2 linked regions of the Coturnix japonica genome follow. Each later gene encodes a partner of the first gene's protein in a complex. Links are inferred from orthologs where the notes say so. Each region holds a gene or a part of one and is shown in the gene's direction. Other genes may lie near its edges.

Region 1 (3,751 bases):
ACACGATGCCGCGGCCGGGCAGCCGCCGACAGAGGCACCGCTGAGGGACAGCGAGGAGGAGGAGCAGAGCCGGGGGCTCCGGGGCAGCCCAGCAGCAGCGATAATCAATCAGCGATCAATCAATCAATCAGCGATCGATCAGCGGCCGACTCGTCCTTCAGTCGGGGTTGGGGGGTGGGGGGGCTCCGAGCCCGTTCCCTTCGTGCTGAGGAGCACAGCCCGGGGCTCGGCCGCCGCCTCCCCGCCCTCCTGACGAGAGACTTCATCCACAGGAGGAGGAGGAGGAGGGGGCTCCTCCGCCCACCGCCCCCGCGCAGCGCCCGGAGCCCCCCGAGCCCCCCGCACCTGAGGAGAGCGGCGGCAAGAGCCCCCCCCTTATTCCTCCACACACATCCCCCCCCATCGCAGAAGAAACCAACCGGCTGAAGATCATCATTTGATATTTTTATTCTCCCCCTCCCTCCCTCTCCCCCCGCTTTTTTTTTTTTCCTTTTTTTTTTCTCTTATTTAACCATTATTTTTTAAGGGACCAGTCCCTCCTCGCCTTCCACCTCGGGAAGGAATTGGGGGGGGTGAAGGGTTGAGGCTTGTGAGGGTTTCGTTGCGGCCCAGAGGCCCCTCGCTGCCCGCCGTGACCCGGCGCCGGGTTGGGGGGGGGTTGGCCGCCCCCTGAAGACTCAGCGATTCCCCCCGACGGCTCCATTGGGACGCTCCGTCCGCGCCCGACGAGACTCCGAGGGCCGCCCGCAGTTCCAGCCCCCTCCCCCTCCTTCCCCCCACGGACGGATTCTCACCCTCTCCACGATCAGCGCTGATTTCGGGGACGGGGCCGTTTCCCCCCATCCCCCCGAGGAGACTTTTGCGGCCTTTCCCTCTCCAGGATCCCCCCCTTCCCTTCCTTTTCCTTTCCCCCCCCCCATCAGCTCCCGCAGATGGTTTTTGGGGTCTCCCCCCCCCAGGACGATCTCCTCTCTTCGGCCTTCTCCAACCCTTCCGGCTCTCCTCACCGCCGGCCCCTCGCGTTTGTTTTGATGATTTTACATTTTTAATTTATTGGCAATTTTTTATTATTATTATTATTTTTTTTTTGGAGGGGGGGAAAACGAAGAACCCCCCCAAGCCCCCCTCCTTTCCCCCCCCCCCTTTACGCACATATACCCTGTTGCCCTCGGACTGCGAAGCCACGAGCCCAGGATCGGGCCCTACCCGAGCGCTGCGCTGTTGCCCCTTTTCTCCCCGAAGGAAGAGGAGGATTCATTACCCCGTTGGATTATTTATTTCCCCGCGATCAGAGGAAGGAGAGATGCCGGCCGGGTTCTCCCATTAACCCCCCCCCAGGATTCGTTACCCCATTTTCTCCTGTTGGATACATCACCCCTCCAGAAGAGGAGCGGGGATTGATCCCAATCTGCGCTGCGTTACCCACCGCCTCCCTCTGTCCTCCCCTTTGCCTCCCCTTATCCTCCACCCCCTCCTTCTTATTTCATATCCAGACGAGAAAACGCTCTGAGTTTCTCTTTAAAAAATAATAACAATAATTTTTAACCCCCTCCCCCCCCCATTCCTCTCTCTTACACCCTCCCGGGTTATTTATCCTACCACTATTCCGTGTGTGTATGTGTGTACGTAAAGCCCTTATTTAACTGCATTATTATTTGTGCGTGTGCCTCGCCCCCTCCCCCGTCCCCTCGCAGTGTCTGTCTCCCTCTCCCTCTCTCTCTGTCTGTCTCTTTCTTTCTTGTCGGAGGCTGTGGGATAATGGCGTGTGGGTTGTGGCTGTGAGGATGAGTTCCTGCTTCGTGCCGAACGGGGCCAGCCTGGAGGATTGCCATTCCAACCTCTTCTGCCTGGTGAGCGCCCGAGGCCGCGCACACGCGCGACGTGAGCGGAGTGGGAACGGGAGGCGGCCGGGGGAGGGGAGGAGGAGGCCGGGCAGTGGCAGCAAAGCAGCCATTTTTAGCAGAGCTTCTGCTGGAGGAGCCCTCGGAGCAGGCCCAGCCGGGCGGCAGCCCAGCTCTCTCCGTGCCCCCCCGCCGCCTCGCCTCGCCCCTCCCTCCGCTTTCAGCCCGGGCTTCGCGGCTCCGGCCCTGCCCTCAACTTTTTGGGCTTTCTTTTACCTCTTTACTGAAGGGAGCTGTGCCTTCTCCCCTCGGCCAACTTTCTCCTTTCCCTTCCCGCTGCACGCATCCCACGGCCCAAACCCTTCTCCCTGCCTTTAAGCCACCCCCCGCCGCCTTTACCCCGAGACCCCCAAGCACTCTGCAAAAGCCTTCTATGCGTTGTGCACCATTTTGTGCTCTTTATTTTTCCTTCCCCCCTCATTCAACCTCAGTACGAAATTGTTGGGATTTTTTTCCTTTTGGTAGCGCAGATTGGATTTCATTGGGCTGTGATGCAATTTGGGTGCTGCACTCACCTCCTTCATCGGCTTAATGCAAATCGGCCGATATCAGATGGCTGCCCGATGTATTTTATCATCATTGTTATTGAAATCATTATAAGTAAAAGCATCCACCGAACCAACAAAACCTATGCCAGGCTGTGGGAGCTGCTGGATGGGGGAACCCCTTTGGGGCCTGCAACCCATTCTGCTGCCACCTTTGTAAATCCAGGCTGTCTGAATGTCAACTGTTGCAGCCCCCGTAGCTTCCATCTAAATTGTTTCTCCTCCTCAAGGTAGAAGGCTGCCATGTTAGGTTTAAATGTTGCAGTGATCTTAGGTGGAAATCAGTAACTTGTTGGCAAGTAGCACCTCGCCTCCGTGCTGCCTTCTTGATGGGAACTAAGGGGCATTGCAGCCCCAAAGGGCCTTAAGGCTGAAGTGCTTGAGGGGGAGAAGCTCAGTGTTAGAACTTAGTGTGGTGCTGGGTTGGGGATAATCCAGGAATTGTCGCTTTCCCTCTAGGTATGGTGGTAGCTCTTCGCTCTATAAAGTCGGATGAAGCTTTGCCCAGAAGGGGATTTAGTGGATCATAACCAATGATGTGTAATTTAATGAGAGAAACAGGATTTAAATTCTTAAAACGTGGGGTGGGAAATGAAAAGCGTGATGGCTCAGAGTGAAATAAGTGAGCTTGAGGAGCTTCCTGCACACGATAGGGAATTTTACAATAGGGAAGCAGTGAAATCTTCTGAAGTAGCAGAGGAGTGGCAGAACGTGTGGCTGAGCTGGGTTTTTTTTCCCTATTTCCTGTATCCTCAGAGTAATCTTGGATTTCAAAAGGCAGCGTAAGCAGAAGTGAGCATGAAGTGAGTGGTTATTTGCTAAGGCGAGCGCTTCTAAGATTGGACATTTGGAGCCTGCAAAGAATTAGCTAATTGTTGCTCGTTTTTCATTTTTTGTTTTAAATCAAATGGGGTGTTTTTTTTCTCTGTCGCTTTAAAGCTGCAGTGAAAACGCTCAGCTCTCACTTTACTGCAGCTATTAGGAGATTTAGAAACCAGGTGCCTGGTTATTTCCAATTTACCTTCTCAGGTGCGCAGAGCTTAGAAGCGTGGTTCCTGTTACAGCTGGCTGTTTCTATTGGGAACATACCCCGATGTCTGATGGTTTCTTTTTTTCCTTCCCTTAGGCTGATCTAACTGGGATTAAATGGAAGCGATACGTATGGCAGGGTCCAACGTCTGCCCCCATTCTCTTTCCGGTGACGGAAGAGGACCCTATTTTGAGCAGCTTCAGTCGCTGTCTGAAGGCAGATGTGCTCAGTGTTTGGCGCCGAGACCAGAGACCTGGACGCAGGGAGCTGTGGAT
Region 2 (3,207 bases), on another chromosome or scaffold:
ATGTGCTTGATGATCTTCTTAGGGGGCAGAGGTGGTGGCAGATCAGTGGTTTGGCCTAGATGTGTTCGCTACAGGAATGTGGTGGAGCTTTTAAACGGGTGTCTAGCAGAGGTGCTCTTTAAAATTCAGCTTCAATGTAAGTCATATGGGTTGTCTTGTAGTGCATCACCAAATCAACATTATTGTAATGAGCTCACAAAGCTGCTGTGCAAGCATGAAGACGTACTACATGCTAGATATGCTACGACAGCATGCAAATACCATGGATGCACATCTTCCTGGAGTATTGTTAATAGCTGTCACTTTATTTGAGGAAGATCTACTTTATTTCTGTGTTCACTCAGTGAGCTTATTTAAAGTAACGCTGTACTGACAATAAACAGTGGCTCAACGTTCATTATGATGGATTTAACTGGCTGTAGAATTAACATTTTGTATTATGACTAAGTCGTGTACATTTTGGTACAGAACTTCTTTTTCAGTTTGAGTAAAATAATCCTAGATTTACTGGCTTAATTGTGATACTTTCAGATTACCTCATGATGCAGTGAAATAACCTAGCAAACAAAAGGTTAAGGAAAACTGTCCAGCATACAGTGCAGTATTAAAGACTGAAGTGGGTCTGTGATACCAGCACTTCTCACCTGGTATTGCAGAAGCCGTTACATTAAAAAAATCCCTTTACAAGTACATCAAAGTAAGAGGAGAACCAAGGAAAATGCCCAACCTTTACTTGATGCAGCGGGGAACGTGATCACTGAGGAGAAGGCTGGGATTCTCTGAGGAGGAGAAGGCTGAGTTCCTCGATGCCTTCTTTACATCTGCCTTTAAGGGGCAGTGCTGTGTGCTTGGGGATGAATAACTGGATGTCTGTGAGGAGGAAAGGGAGCTGGTCGATGTTCGGCTGCTCCTCACCGCCAGGCCGCACTGTGGCGCCCGCCTCCTCCTTCAGGCCTTGCCTTTCTTCCCGCCGCCATCTTTACCACAGCCGCCAAGATGGAGGCGCCTCCCGTCACCATGATGCCCGTTACGGGCGGCACTATTAACATGATGGAGTACCTGCTGCAAGGTATGGCCGGCACACAGGGGCTGTACACGGGGCTCGGCCGCAGCGTGGGGCCGAGGCGGGCGGCGAAGGGGAGGTACCTCCCCGCGGAGGCCCCTTCGCCGCCTGCCTCGGCCCCGCGCTGCGGCGGGGAAGGGGCCATCGTCTGAGCCGTGTGTGTCCACCACAGGGAGCGTCCTGGACCAGAGCCTGGAGAGCCTGCTGCACCGCCTGCGTGGGCTGTGCGACAACATGGAGCCGGAGACCTTCCTGGACCACGAGATGGTGTTCCTGCTCAAGGGGCAGCAGGCCAGCCCCTTCGTGCTGCGTGCCCGGCGATCCATGGATAAAAGCGGCATGCCATGGCACCTGAGGTACCTGGGGCAGCCGGAGATCGGAGATAAAAACCGACACGCTTTAGTGCGAAATTGTGTGGACATCGCCACCTCGGACAACCTGACGGATTTCCTGGTGGAGATGGGGTTCCGTATGGATCACGAGTTCGTGGCTAAGGGACACGTGTTCCGAAAGGGGATCATGAAGATTGTGGTGTATAAGATCTTCCGTATCTTGATGCCTGGTAACACGGACAGCATCGAGCCGCTTTCCCTCTCCTACCTTGTAGAGCTTAATGTTGTGGCACCAGCCGGACAGGATATGGTTTCTGATGATATGAGGAACTTTGCAGAGCAGCTGAAGCCTTTAGTACACCTGGAAAAAATTGACCCTAAGAGGTTAATGTGATGAAAACTGGCTTGACTATCATAGCATTGCTGTAGCCAGAAGTGAGTGCAGGGACTGGTTGGAGTCCTATGCACACAGAACTTTTGTTCAGGGCTCCACTGCTTCCTCTCTGTGCTGGAGCAGTAAGCAGTATTAAGGTGCAACACTTATAAATAGAGATATTGACTTTATGTTGTTGGGGAGCAAGGGGTAAAAGGCTTTGATGTATTGGTTTTGTTTTTGTTTGATGCTCAGCCAGCATTTGGTATTTGGTTATGCAGGTTACATATATGCATAAGAGCAGAATGTATGTAATTCCCAGAGATGGAAGAGAATAAAAGTCTGTTTAGTGCATTATTCATTGGATAGTCGGTCCCTGATGTCTGAAAGGAGTAGTTGCAGGAATTGCTTAGTTTTAGATTTGAAAGACCTGAAAGATTCCCTCCTAGCAAATCCAGACTGGGAGCTGTTTGTTATTGGAAGCAGCTTTGTTGTTAGTGTAGAACAGGAAGCTCTGGGTCTGCAATTATAACCTGGGGGGAAGAAACAGAATTAAGACCCTTCACAGCCAATATGTTGGCTCAGAAAGTTGAGCCCAGTGCCCCCGAATGTGCCTGTAGAGAGTCAGGTGGATGGGGCCAGGCTTTGACTGTTGTTGCCCAGTGTTGGGACACAGGAAGGTCCATCTCAAAGTGAGGAATTACTGCTTCATTTGGGGGTGACGTGGAGCAGGCTGCACAGAGAGGCTCCTTCCTGCTTACAGCCACTTCCATCAGCCCAGCACGATGCATTAGTTTCACAAAAGCAAGGTCAGGCATCCCACTATTTCTGTGTTTTTGTGCTCTTTGTATGTTTTATTAAAAATATATCTTCAAAAATACCCGTCAGCTATTTGCATTAATTTTGTATTTTCTTTGCAATTCTTTTTCACTCAATACAAGCCAGTATTTTGGGCAAACATGAAGTAGTCTTCATTTCTCAAGATCATTATGGAAACGTACAACCACGCTGCCTTTTACTAAAACACACCAATTGCTGTCAGTCGCTGTCATGCTTTAACAGCACGAATGTTGCTGTATCTCCAGCACTCCTCAGCCCTGGGTCTCCATTCTCCCCACACACTCTCCCCTAATGTTGTTATTTCTGTACAAATGAACACAGAAGCTGAAGTACAACTTTGGAAGCACTCTATATTGTCTAACATGCTTCTGATATGCGAGTGCAGGGTGAGACGTTTCACACATCAACAGCTTATGTGGATATTCCAGCTTTCACTTCAGCAACCTCGGTAACACAGTCAAGCTGCTTTCTGCTAAGTGCTTTACATACACTGTAGTGTATGTGTATGAAGCGGCATACAGCTTCAGACACAACCCAAGGGCTGGGTACGGCAGAAGATACTGAAATAAGTCTCCTTAAACACTAGAAAGAACAACAAA

Evidence for each region. The genes of interacting proteins can lie anywhere in the genome.
Region 2: MED13 (region 1) and MED18 share a complex: the UniProt entries of both Homo sapiens proteins name them as parts of the mediator complex. The link is inferred for Coturnix japonica from reciprocal best matches to the Homo sapiens genes MED13 and MED18.

Annotation. Positions count from the first base shown.
Region 1 is NC_029534.1:6,168,961-6,172,711, forward strand, and holds the start of MED13 (mediator of RNA polymerase II transcription subunit 13), read left to right. Parts: upstream 1-1,174; 5' UTR 1,175-1,784; coding exon 1,785-1,850; intron 1,851-3,572; coding exon 3,573-3,751. UniProt on the Homo sapiens protein: Component of the Mediator complex, a coactivator involved in the regulated transcription of nearly all RNA polymerase II-dependent genes.
Region 2 is NC_029547.1:21,930,404-21,933,610, reverse strand, and holds MED18 (mediator of RNA polymerase II transcription subunit 18), read left to right. Parts: upstream 1-883; 5' UTR 884-996; coding exon 997-1,069; intron 1,070-1,235; coding exon 1,236-1,789; 3' UTR 1,790-2,648; downstream 2,649-3,207. UniProt on the Homo sapiens protein: Component of the Mediator complex, a coactivator involved in the regulated transcription of nearly all RNA polymerase II-dependent genes.